Coturnix japonica: one gene and its partners. The protein of the gene in region 1 interacts with the protein of each later gene in a pairwise test. Links are inferred from orthologs where the notes say so. Each region holds a gene or a part of one and is shown in the gene's direction. Other genes may lie near its edges.

Evidence for each region.
Region 2: the proteins of SMURF1 (region 1) and RNF11 interact in binary tests that used the Homo sapiens proteins (3 or more experiments, as listed by UniProt). The link is inferred for Coturnix japonica from reciprocal best matches to the Homo sapiens genes SMURF1 and RNF11.
Region 3: the proteins of SMURF1 (region 1) and WFS1 interact in binary tests that used the Homo sapiens proteins (3 or more experiments, as listed by UniProt). The link is inferred for Coturnix japonica from reciprocal best matches to the Homo sapiens genes SMURF1 and WFS1.

The regions. Positions count from the first base shown.
Region 1 is NC_029529.1:4,357,491-4,361,420, reverse strand, and holds the start of SMURF1 (E3 ubiquitin-protein ligase SMURF1), read left to right. Parts: upstream 1-882; 5' UTR 883-1,040; coding exon 1,041-1,095; intron 1,096-3,930. UniProt on the Homo sapiens protein: E3 ubiquitin-protein ligase that acts as a negative regulator of BMP signaling pathway. Mediates ubiquitination and degradation of SMAD1 and SMAD5, 2 receptor-regulated SMADs specific for the BMP pathway.
Region 2 is NC_029523.1:21,408,243-21,412,172, forward strand, and holds the start of RNF11 (RING finger protein 11), read left to right. Parts: upstream 1-1,077; 5' UTR 1,078-1,543; coding exon 1,544-1,666; intron 1,667-3,930. UniProt on the Homo sapiens protein: Essential component of a ubiquitin-editing protein complex, comprising also TNFAIP3, ITCH and TAX1BP1, that ensures the transient nature of inflammatory signaling pathways. Promotes the association of TNFAIP3 to RIPK1 after TNF stimulation.
Region 3 is NC_029519.1:72,167,095-72,170,924, forward strand, and holds part of WFS1 (wolframin), read left to right. Parts: intron 1-3,450; coding exon 3,451-3,595; intron 3,596-3,830. UniProt on the Homo sapiens protein: Participates in the regulation of cellular Ca(2+) homeostasis, at least partly, by modulating the filling state of the endoplasmic reticulum Ca(2+) store.

The DNA.
Region 1 (3,930 bases):
TTAACTGTTAAGAAGGAACTGAACCCTGCTTGGCCTTTGTGTTTGTGCTGTGTCTCCTGGGCCTCCTTGCAGGATAGAGGGTATTTCTCCTCCAGGTTGCCTAGAAAGAAGGAAGCAGAGCCCCTGTGGTCTGTACAAGGTGCACAGCCCTGAGCTTGCTGAGTGTAGTTGAAGTGCTGGAGTCGATTTATTTCCTGGATCTGACACTATGAAGTGAAAATCGGAATAGCACAAAACCTGAGTGTGCTCTGGAGATGAGTGCCTGTGTGCATCCTTCCTTTGTGCTGTGGGTTAGCACTGGGGGCTCTGCTGCCAGAACCACCTTACAGTGTGCTGCTGAGGCAGCATCTGGAAATGATTGGATTTCAGTGGGTAAAAGGAGCCTGAGGTTGATGCTTCCTCGGTGTAAATGGAGATGTGGACCGGAGCTGGGCTCCTGCTCTTCCTGAGCCTGGACACAGGGCTGCTGCGTGCTGGTGTTCTGCTGACTGAGAGCAAGCTAAAAAGGGAAAGGTCAGTGCTTTTCCTGCATGTCTATTTGAGGCTGTTACAGGTAAGTTGCTTTCTTTCACCTTTGCAGCACTGGATTGAAAGCGAAGCGTCTATGGGTGCCGTGCTGGGTTGGTGATGCTTTACTTTCCTAATCCAGAGCGTTTCTACCTTTCATTGAGATGAACTTTTCTGACCAAAGAGTATCTCGGTGATAAGCTCAGTGATGACTGGAGTTGTGTGGAACACATTGCTGCGGCCTAGCAGTGCAGCTGTGTTCTGTAGGTCCTCCCACACACTAGGGGGCGCTGCACTCCTCCTTCAGCACTCGGCCCCTCCATCCCCGACCTCCCCAAGATGGCGGCGCCTCTCCTGACGTCACGGCCGAGCCGCGGGGCGGCGCTGAGGCGGAGCGGAGCCGCTGTCCGGGCCGGGTCGGGCTGAGGCGGCGGCGGGTCCGGCCGCGATCGGAGCGCGGAGAACGGCCGGAGGTTGGAGCGGGCCCGTATGGGGTTGAGCGGGGCAGCGGGTTGATCTCGCCTCAGGGCGCGATGTCGAATCCCGGGACGCGTCGGAACGGCTCCAGCATCAAGATCCGCCTCACAGGTAATAACGGCGCGGGAGGGGCCCGGGGCGCTGCTCGGTGCGGAGGGGCCGGTTGTGGGCAGGGGGCGGCTGTGTGTGTATATATGTGTGTGTATGTGTGTGTATATGTGTGTGTGCCGGGGGGGCCGTGGCCGCCGGTGAGGCCGGGCCGTGGCGGCGGGGCCCAGCTGTTCCCCCGCTCCTTCGCTCCGCTTCCCCCATTCCCGCTCCCAGCCCGCGGTGCTGCTGCGTTTCCAAGTTATTTCTATTATTATTATTATTATTATTCTTTTCCCCCTCTCGGTTCCCGGTTCCCACCCGCCCCCTGCAGTGTGCAGTGCAGCCGCCGTTCCCTCAGGTTCGCTCTGTCCGAACCCTCCTCTCATCTCGTTTGCCTCCGCTGGGCTCCGTAGGCTTTGTTGCAGAGCCCCGTTGTTCTCTCTGTGTGCGTCTCATTGCTTTGGGTCTGTTGTTTTGCTGTATTTTGTTTCCCTTTTTGCTCTCCTCCTCTCCTGCTTCCTCTCCCAAACCCAACTCCTGCAGTCCTTCCCCTGAGCTAAAGGTGCCAATGAATGACTGCACTCTGTGTCTCCTCAACTCTGTGTGCACACATGAATAAACCAATTTATGTTGCACCCTCCGAGGTCTGGATTAGCTCTGAGAGCTGCTCCAGCTAATGCTGAGCTGCTGTTCTAATGGGAAGAGGCACAGGTTCTGATTCTTAAGGCTGTGGGGTGAATTATTAATAAATAAGACCCGATCTGACCTTTTTAAAGGCAACAGGTGGATACTTGGAGATCTCGGTGCCGTGGTTCATTCAGACCCAGGCACAGGTATTGATCTTTATGGAACTGTGGCTGTGGGAGCGTGAGATATTGCCAAACAATAAGAGAAATGGCACAAGGTGAACTCCAGTTCCAGGTGAACTTGCTTCTGGTGTGCACTGCAATCAGTCAGCAGCGACTCTTCAACATAAAACCCTGGTTTGCTTTTAATCCTTCCTTGATCCCGTGCTGCTCGTGCTTTAGGAGGCTGCAGTTGGCAAGGAAAATATCAATCTGAAAATCCTTTCGGACACGAGAAGGCTGCAAGTATTTTTAGGGTGTAAAGACGATGTTTGATCTGAAATCAGTTTTGTGGAGCCGTGTGCTAAATGCCAACTCAGTCACTGACGTGCCTTGTTTGTATGCCAGTCAGTCCATCAACACGCAGGCAGTTGAGTAACTTGTGCTGTGGTCGCAGCCCTGTGGAGCGGGCAGGTATCGTTTAAATAACAGACAGAAGCTGTTGGTTTTAGAAGCTGTTGGTTTTAGTTCTAAAGAGCGAATGCAGCGTCAAAGTGTTCTTTGCCTTTTAGCGTGTGCTATTCCTGCCTGGCTGAGAGCATTTTGTGCAAGAGGCTGAAGTTGCAGCTTATTGAGCAACTTGGATTTTCTCACTCGTATTTTGTTGTTTTAATTAATTATATTGGAGAACTCTGCTCTCTCAAACTCATTTTAGGTTTTTACAAGCATGTGACCTGGGTGGTATGACAAAAATTGCTGCGTTTCATCAGAAACTAATTGCTCTGGGAGAGGTTTCCCTTTGGAGTTGTTAAGAAATGCTGCATCCTCAACGTGGCTGGAGGTTGCTGGGCTGACTTACCTGCTCCAAAGCACTACAGCTATCGCGGCTGCTGCTTCCTCATCTGTTCTGCTGCTGGGAGCTTTGAGTGGTGTTAATTCAAGACAGGGAACGTCTTCTGTTACGATCTACTACCTGCGCTGTATTTCCTGTGATTAGAAATCATTTGTTTTCACACAGCTACTTTCAGTAGTGCAATACTGCTCAGTCTGAAGGTGCCTGTGAGCATTAGGAAAAGCAAATGGTGGTTGAATCTTGCTACTTTTAAAGGCATTGTTCTCATTTTCCTTGTTTATTGGCATGGTGTTTGTACAAGCATTGAGTTAAAAGCATTTCAGTCATATGAATATATTAGATCTTCCAGCTCGTGCGGGGTGGTGTCAGTCCTACCATGATGCAGATTGCAATGAAGTGAAATGGTAAATGGCACATTCTGTTTAGAAAGGAAAAATAAATAAATCAATAGATCCAACTGCAGGTAACTTGGGTGGTGGGTTAAAATGTCTGTGTCCTCAAACATGCTCATCTCTCCCTATCCCAAAATGGTCCATGTTGGAAGGGACCTCAAGGCTCATGAACCTGATATCTCACTTTCTCCTAAAGTATATGCAGGGTTCCTTTTGCTTTCACCACTGCTGGTGATAGAGCAGCCAAGGGTGCTTATGGCCTTGTCTCACTGCTGGAAGCAGCTCTAGGCAAAGGAAGGTAGGACTTGTCATTATATCCGTAGTCTCTTTGTATCCGTGCTGTCAGCGGGTAGAGCAGCCATGACAGATGACTCAAAAAAGAGATGGGAACAATGCAATGGTATTGTGAGTGCTTGAGGAGTCTGCTCAGGTTCTTCTGGGTCAGGGAGGAATGTGGTCCAAAGGCCTTTGTGAAGCACATCCCTTTTTTAGCTGATGTCCTCCTCTAAAACCTTTCTTTGCTGCTGCAGTCGCTGCTCCCTGGGGGCAGTTCCAAAGGGTTGATCAACTCCAAAGCTTTACGTGCTTCTTACTCATACTGTTATTTCACCCAGAAGTACTTGTGAAAACTGCAGTCTCATTGTGCTGGATCTCAGAGTTGCTCTTGTTCTGGGTAACTTGCATATGGGAAAATCCCATGCAATTGGGAAGGCTGGGAGGAAATGGACTAAGTGTGCAGCTTTTCTACCAGAAAACCTTGAGGTTCTGTTCTGACTTCATCGATATGGCTTTATCATCACTGCTGCAGCAGGGGTGTTAAAGGCAG
Region 2 (3,930 bases), on another chromosome or scaffold:
CTGCACAGCTGAACGTCCTCTAGCTGCGCCTTAACCCACCACAGGATCCTGCAGAAGCAGCTCTGACATTGCTCTCACCTTGAAGCTACTCTTAAGAGAGGCAGTGACTCCTCTCCAACCACTGCTTACCTTCTTAATTCTCCTATTAACCGAGTCAACATATTCCTGCGATAAACATTCACACCCTGTACAGTATTCATTGTGAGTTACAGCACACTATTACAAAGTGTTTCCATCACAAGCAACACTCACAACTCAGGCACTACTTCTAGCTTCTTAGGAAAACCTTTTCCAAGCCCTGTAAACGCCAACAATATCTTCTCTGTTGCTATAGATTTCATACTGAAAGTGCTTAAGTCACCCAATAACCAGCAGCAAAACAAAACTCTCAAACAATAATAAAAGGAAATCCTCAAGGAGGAACTCACGTGGATAACAAGCAGCAGCACAGCTCCCCACCTTCCAAGCACTAAAGGGCCTCTCAAAGGTCTGAACAGAGATGGAAGAGCCAAGTACCAGCAGCTGGCTTAAAGAACTCAGATGGGAGCCTGACACAGATCAGCTGAGACACCCTTGATTAAAGCCGGCCATGCTTTATTGCTTCAGGACCTAATTTCTAGTTGCTGTCACCTGTGTTGAATTTGCTTCAGATCAATATTCAGTGGCCTGAACCTGATGGGCAAGAAGGCACTATGAGGATCTGAGCTGGAGGAAACCCTTAAATGTGCCTTAAGAAACATGTTTCCTTCATGCTGCGTTGGTGTGGTTATGTTAGAAGGGTGCCGACTTCGCACTGTGCATACAACTGTATTTCACTTTAAAAGTTTATCTTCTCAATTGAGAGGCTGCACACACCGTTACATCAATCACGTATTGCTGTAGCTCTCATCACCTCCAAGGCCGCCTCCGCACACAAAGAGCAGCACGGCCCGGCCCTCTGCCCTTAGCGGCTGCCGGGGCCCAGCGCGGGGCAGGAACTTCGGCCTCCGGCACAGCTCCGCCCCGAGCTCAGACGCCGGGTCCGTCCCGCACACCGACAGCTGCGGGGCGGAGCGAAGCGCCGCTCGCTGTGGGGCCGGAGGCGGCCGGCCTGGCCTCATTGCGCCGGGGCGGGCACAGCTCCCCGGCCGCCGAGCGCGGTGCCGCCGGGCCCTACGTGCGCGATCCCGGCGGGGCGGAGTGAGAGGAGGAGCCGGGGCGGCCTGTGCGACAAAGCCCAGTGCGCAGAAAGCTGGTGACCAGGAAGCGGAACGGCACCGGGCTGCCGCGGGGCGGGGGGCGGGCGGACCCCACCTGAGCCCCGCTGCCCCAGCGCTCCCGGGCGGGAGCCGAGCCCTGCGGCCCCACGGCTCGGGGCCAAGTGCGGCCGGCGCTGCGGGGCGGCCGTGCTGCCGCTAAGCCGCTTAGGGCCGGGCTGGCATGAGCCTCCCCGGCGGGGCGGCTGCGGGCTGCGCGCTGCGGGGCGGCTGAGGGTGCGGAGCCGTCCGTCGTAAGGAGGGGGAGAAAGCGGAGGGGACGCCCCTGCTCCCCGGGGGGAAGGAAAATGGGGAACTGCCTCAAGTCCCCCACATCAGATGACATCTCGCTGCTCCACGAGTCCCAGTCGGACCGGGCCAGCTACGGGGACGGGGCTGAGCCGGATCAGGAGCCGCCGCCGCCATATCAGGTACGGGAGGGGGCGGGGAGCGGCGCGGCGGAGCCGGTGGGGACGGGGACGGACGGAGAGGGGCACGGGACGGGGGGGCGGGTTGAAGCCCCGAGGACCCCCCGGGGCGCTGCACAGCGTCCGTCCCCGCGGGCACCGAACGGCGGGTCCCGGCCGTGAAGTGAGGAGCGCCGCTTTGTTCCCCGGGGGGTCGCCGAGCTGTCGCGGGGCCGCACGGACCGTTCGGGACACGAAGCCGGAGACGGCGGAGGGGGGTCGGGGCCCGCCCAGGGGTCGGAGCCGCCTCGATCGTGTCTGGATTTGGGCTGAAAGCAGGAGGGGAAGGCGTCGAGTTTCCAGCCGTGCCGCTTCCTTTGTTGTCGTCGCGCGGTGACATCACTGTCTGTGCCGCTCTCGGTGCTCCCCGCACCGGAGGCCGCGCGCTCGGCGCTGCCCGGCTTTGTCTGCGGCGCTTCGGCAGCAGCTGAACCGGAGTAACTTCGTGCTGCGGGGTGAGCCCGTTTCTTTCAGCTCCGTGCGGTTCCAGGAAGGGCCGTTCGCTCTCCTGCCTGGAGAGGATGTGTACATTGACGGCTGATGACGAGCTGGGGAAGAACGCCGGGTGCTCCGTCACGTCCTCACAGCTGTGGGGTCCCGGCACAGCTCTGTGCTGTGATGGCCACCAAAAGGACCCAGGGCTGCATTTATCCCCTGCTTCATCTCCATCTCCTAAGGAAGGATTGTACGTGGCTCTGAGCAGGACACGAGCCCTGTCTGAAGGGATCTGTAACAGTGACAGGTACAGATGAGTCCTGCGCTCCTTAGGGTGGGGAGTCACGCAGGAGTTGCAGACCTTAACGTATTATTAACAAGGCTGCAGGAAGTATTTAGCAGGGCAGATATTAACCTGTGATACTCGACGAACACCGGCTGTGACAGGAGGTCCCTGGGTTGCTCCATGGGCACAGCAACCCTTGGTGGAACCATGCTGGGACCACTGGGCCCTGCAGAGCTGCTCGCTTTATGTGACTGCTTCATGACAGAACAAATTCCCTAAGATGGGTTGGGTTTTTTTCCCTGACTTTTTAGTAAAGTCTGCACAAGTCCATTAAATAAAGATGTGTGGTGTCAGGTTTTTTTGACAGGCGATGTTCTGAGCCAATCCTGCTTGTCCCTCCTGTTTGGGAACGCAATGAAAATTGTCCCTTGGAAAAAAACCTGTCGGCTCTTGCAGGAGTTGAGAAATTGCACTGTGCAGGCCTTCTCCTGTCGACTTCAGAGCACAGCAGACAGTAAAATAAGCAAACTCGCAGACATTTGTTACTGTGTGCATTCATAGCAAAACTCCCCCAAACCCCACGCGCTGATCCCAGCAGATCTCAAACACTCACTGTAAGGGGCATCTTGTGTTGCATAGTCAACATTCAAAGATACTCGCTCCACAAATAAAGAAACACAGTGCTTTGTGATGACAAAAGACCTTCACCTTCATACTTTGCAGTATTCCACACGCTTTGAGGTTGAGGGGGGTTGTAACTTCAAATTGTTTTGGGGTGAAAAGGTGTGCAAGCCGAGCGCTGAACCTGGGGAACTCCTGGAGCTCCATTATTGCTGTAGTGGCAGCAGGATGTTGTGATCTTATCCTCTTCCTTGCCTGCCTTCCTCCGCAGGTCTGCATGTTCTCTTACACACTTTAATTCTCATTCAAACATTGTAGAAAGTATCACCTATAAGGACAAGAATCCCACATGCCCATTTCTAACACTGAATCTGAGCTATGATCTGGAATTTAAAATAAGGCCAAGAGTTTAAAAACTTGTTTGTGGCACCTACTGCTGCGCACGAGGAGCTGTGGACGATTAACAACTTAAAACTGAGCTGCTGGAGCCTCAGCCATAAAATGGCTGCATTTGGGTTTGCTTCCTTTGGGTTTGCAGCAACGATGTGCAAACTTCCTGAGCCGCTCTCTCAAGGTGTGCTAACAAGCAGAGCGAAGGAAGCTTGCTGGGGTAGGTGCAGCGTTGTAGACAGGACTTGTGTGTCTCTTTGAGCTAAAGTCTGTGCTATCTTGATACTCAAAACATTTTCTGTGTCTTGGCACGCTTGTTTTGTGGGTGTCCATATGGGAATCGAGTTAAGCAATAATTTTTTAAGGTGTTCACTTCTAACTGCAAAATAGGCACCTAATAATCTCTTCACTGTTGCATGCCAAACTCCTTTTCATCACTGAGTGCTACTGAATCTGCTGTATAAAATTCCTGCTTCTAAAAGTTGAACTGAAAATT
Region 3 (3,830 bases), on another chromosome or scaffold:
GCAAATAAAAAGGAAAGGGGTAAGAGGGAGGAGGCAGGAACAGTGGCACAGAGAAATGCTTGTGAAGCTGATAAAAACGTGGCAGTTCCAGACTCAGTCCCCACTTCATCTCAGCTGGTTTGAGGGCAGGCTGTCCTTGGAGCTGTAACCTGAGACGGTAAGGAATTCCTCACCTCCAAAGCAGCCGGTGGCTTTGCCTTTAGCCGTGAGGGGATTGCTGCTACAAAGTCCACGTTTTGGCTCTTCTTCCACACCAAAGAGCAAAACCCATAGAACATTATTTTGGGGTTTAACTTCTGGCTGAGTAAGAAATACCACAGGTAATCTAAGCCGATGATCTGTATGCATATATATATATAAATAATAATTGTATTTCATCCTTATCCTTTGCAGTTCATTCCTCCTTCGCTCCTTTCCTTTAGCTCTTTAACTGTGCACACTTTCTGTTCCCATATAATAACAGTATTCTTTTCTTAAAAAGATCTGGGATAAAATTTTGCATTAGTGTGCATTCAGGAGGAAATGACAGTTTGGAAAAGAACCCCAAATAGTTATATCTTCTAGACAAATGGATGTCGTAGCCTATAGAGAGGGAATTATCTCTCATTTTTAACCTAGATAAGTAAGATATAGTGCATATATATGCATCCTTCTCTACTTTAGAATCCAGCCAGGAAAACTACTTTAATTTGTGACTGTTGTAAGACTATGAATAAGAAGTTGGCATTACATCATCGTTCTTTGTCTTGATAATTACAAAATCAAACATAAAGAGTCTCTCAGTTCTCTGCCAAGTAGCTATTACTATAAGTTTATTCAAAAATAACCTTGCACTGACTGTGGAAAATAAACACACCATGAGTGGATGTCAGCCTGCATTACCGTAGCTTTATGTAGATTCTTTATTGAGAAATAACTGCATAGCAATTATGAAAATGAAACACCCACAGCTGGATTCTGTAATAAAGCAGAGGAAGCTCGGTGTCTTTGACTAGAGGTTATCTGCAAGGGGCCTGCTTGAGATAAATGATGCAGTTGGTAAAGCACAAAGGTGAGAGGTGGGCAGTCAGCTTTAGGGAAGTACAGTATATATGCCTGTGTTAAACCATTGCTCACGGGAAAGAGAGAATCCTTGAATTGTCTCATTAGCAATCTGAGGCTGATGCTCTTTCCCATCAGTTCTTCCTTATTTGACCCCTGCAGGCCAGAGCTGTGCAGCCATTCATGGCTGGCTCCACGTGGAAGCTTTGCCATAGGAAGGAAAGGTGTGGGGCTTTTTTAGAGCCCCTTCCAGCAGTATTTTGTGAAAAGGCAACATGCTTGTAACTTGGAGGTGATTGGAGGTGATTTTTGCTTATAAAACTTTCTAAATACACAGAAAGTCTTGTTGCTTTGTAACTGAAATATCAAGCAAATATTTGCTTGGCTTTTGGAGCTGCCTCTGTCTTGTTGCAGTTTTTGGAAGGGGGGGAAGTGGTCAAATAATTCAATCTTGATGTTGAACTTCAAAAACAAACAAACAAAAACCTCCATAGGAAAAAAAAAATCCAGACCCCTAAACATTTATATTATAAAACCAGTGCTATGGCTTCTTTTTCCTCACGCAATACACTTGTGCAATATATGACTAATTCCAAAATCTCCTAGCCTACATTGCAATATGAGATTTTGTGACCAAGAGATGTTCATAAATTTGAAAGCCACATCAAGTGCTACTACTCTTGAAGCTCTGCTCAAAATTGCAATGGCTAGAAGCATAAATGTGCTCAAGAAACTCCTGTTCTTGTCGGAAGATGTTATTTACCTTGCAACTCGTTCATACAATTCCTTCTTGACATAAAAAGCTGAAGGTAGATCTGCAGTTGGTGATGAATTACCTGGGAATTGCACTATCAAGGCTGAAGTATTAAGGTAAAAATAAGTAAATAAGTAACCTCATATACTCTCTTGTTCTGCCACTATATCTGTGCAGTGCTTGGTTGAACTCCTGTATGAATTAATAGTAAGTGTTTAGTTCTATCTTTTGTATTGCTTAATCCAATATTTTTTTATTTCCTTTACAGTTTTGGGTCACTTTGCTGTGCTTTGTATTTAATTGCTCCAAGGTCTTGGTGACTTGGTGACTGCTGAAGTTGTTAGAACACCCACTTAAGTGCTTGAACCAGTTGCAGAATTGGAGTCCTAACCTTTAATGTCTAACAGAAACATCTTTTTGATGAGATCAGAGTGTTCAGTCTGCTTGCAACAACTGTTTATTATTCACCTTTCAAAGATATTTCTTTAGTCACACTTATTGGTGATATCAAATGCAAAGTTTCAGAGAAACTGTCAAGCAGGGTTGGTGGTTGTTTTGGTCTCGTGGGTTTTTTTTTCAACAGATAATACTAGATTTATGGAGCTGTAATCTGTTACTATTTCAGTTACATTCTGAGTGTAAATAATAACGCACCTGAAAGAGACAGAGAGAGAGAAGGAGTGCAGTTAACTAAACAAAAGCATTTCCCAGGTTTTGTGGGCATGTAAATAAGTGTCCAGTACTTTTGGCCACTTTCTGCCACTTAACATTTAAGTGTTAGGGTATGATAAGCGGAAGTGTTTCATGCTAGAGCGTAAGTATATTTAACATTACATTAATCCTTAATGGTAAGAATTTTACAAGTTATATCGCTTAAATTGCTAGGTTCTTAAGCCGTGTTAGTTATCTTCCATTCACTAGTTAATCGTGAGTTTGTTTTGACCTTCAGAGACTAAACTGTAGACTTTAACAGCCTACATCATCAGAATTTTGTCTGACCATTTTTATTGAAAGAATCGAAGAGAATCTTAGAATCCTTGGAACAGACCTTTAAAGGTCATCAAGTCCAGCTCCCCTGTAGTGAACAGGGACATCCACAGCTAGATCAGGTTGCCCAGAGCTTGGTCCAGCCTGGCCTGGATTGTCTGCAGGGATGGGGCTTCCACTTCTCTGGGCAACCTGTTACAGTGCTTTACCACCCTCACTGTGGAAGACTTTGTCCTTACACCCAGGATCTACCCTCTTTAAGTGCAAAACAATTTCCCCTTGTCCTATCACCACACACCCTGCATAACAGCCTATCCTGTACTTTCTTGTAGCTCCCCTTTAGATACTGAAGAAGATGACCACTCTTAATATGACTTAATAACACCATGAACTTTAACTAATCCTGCTAGATGCCCAAAGACCAATGGCAACTAATTCTTTGACCTGATCAAGTGTACTGCAATTCCTTCTTGCTTCCAGTTCTGGAAACTGATCTTTCTCTGCAGAATATCAACTTACAACTATATTCTTCACTGCTGGGAGCAAATGTTTTGACCTTTTGTTCAAAGAGATTTTATTGTAGCTGAGTCTGATGGGGTGAGAGGAGAGAGACGGACACTACATGTATTTCAGTAATTGAAAGAATTTTTGTTCTCCGCTTGTTCTAGGTGGGGAAACACTACTTGAGATTAGCAGAAGAGGAGGATGAAGAACTTAACAACTGTAGTGCGGTTGATTGGTTCATCCTTGCTGCTAAGCAAGGTCGAAGAGAAGCTGTTAAACTGTTGCGTAGATGCCTAGCAGACAGAAGAGGTATGGGTTCTCTGAGACTTTTAGTCTGTACATCCTAATTTAATAATAGTCTATCCATTTTAACGCTGAAAAGACACATTAAAATACGGTGGGAACGTTCATGGCAAAATTATATGAGTAGCTGCAGGAAGCGTGTTCAAATGAGTGCTGTAAAAAGCAAACTGCAGCTTACAAAAACATTTGTATTAATGATTTGGTTGAATTCCTTCATGGAATTCATGTGTATTGTTCCCTT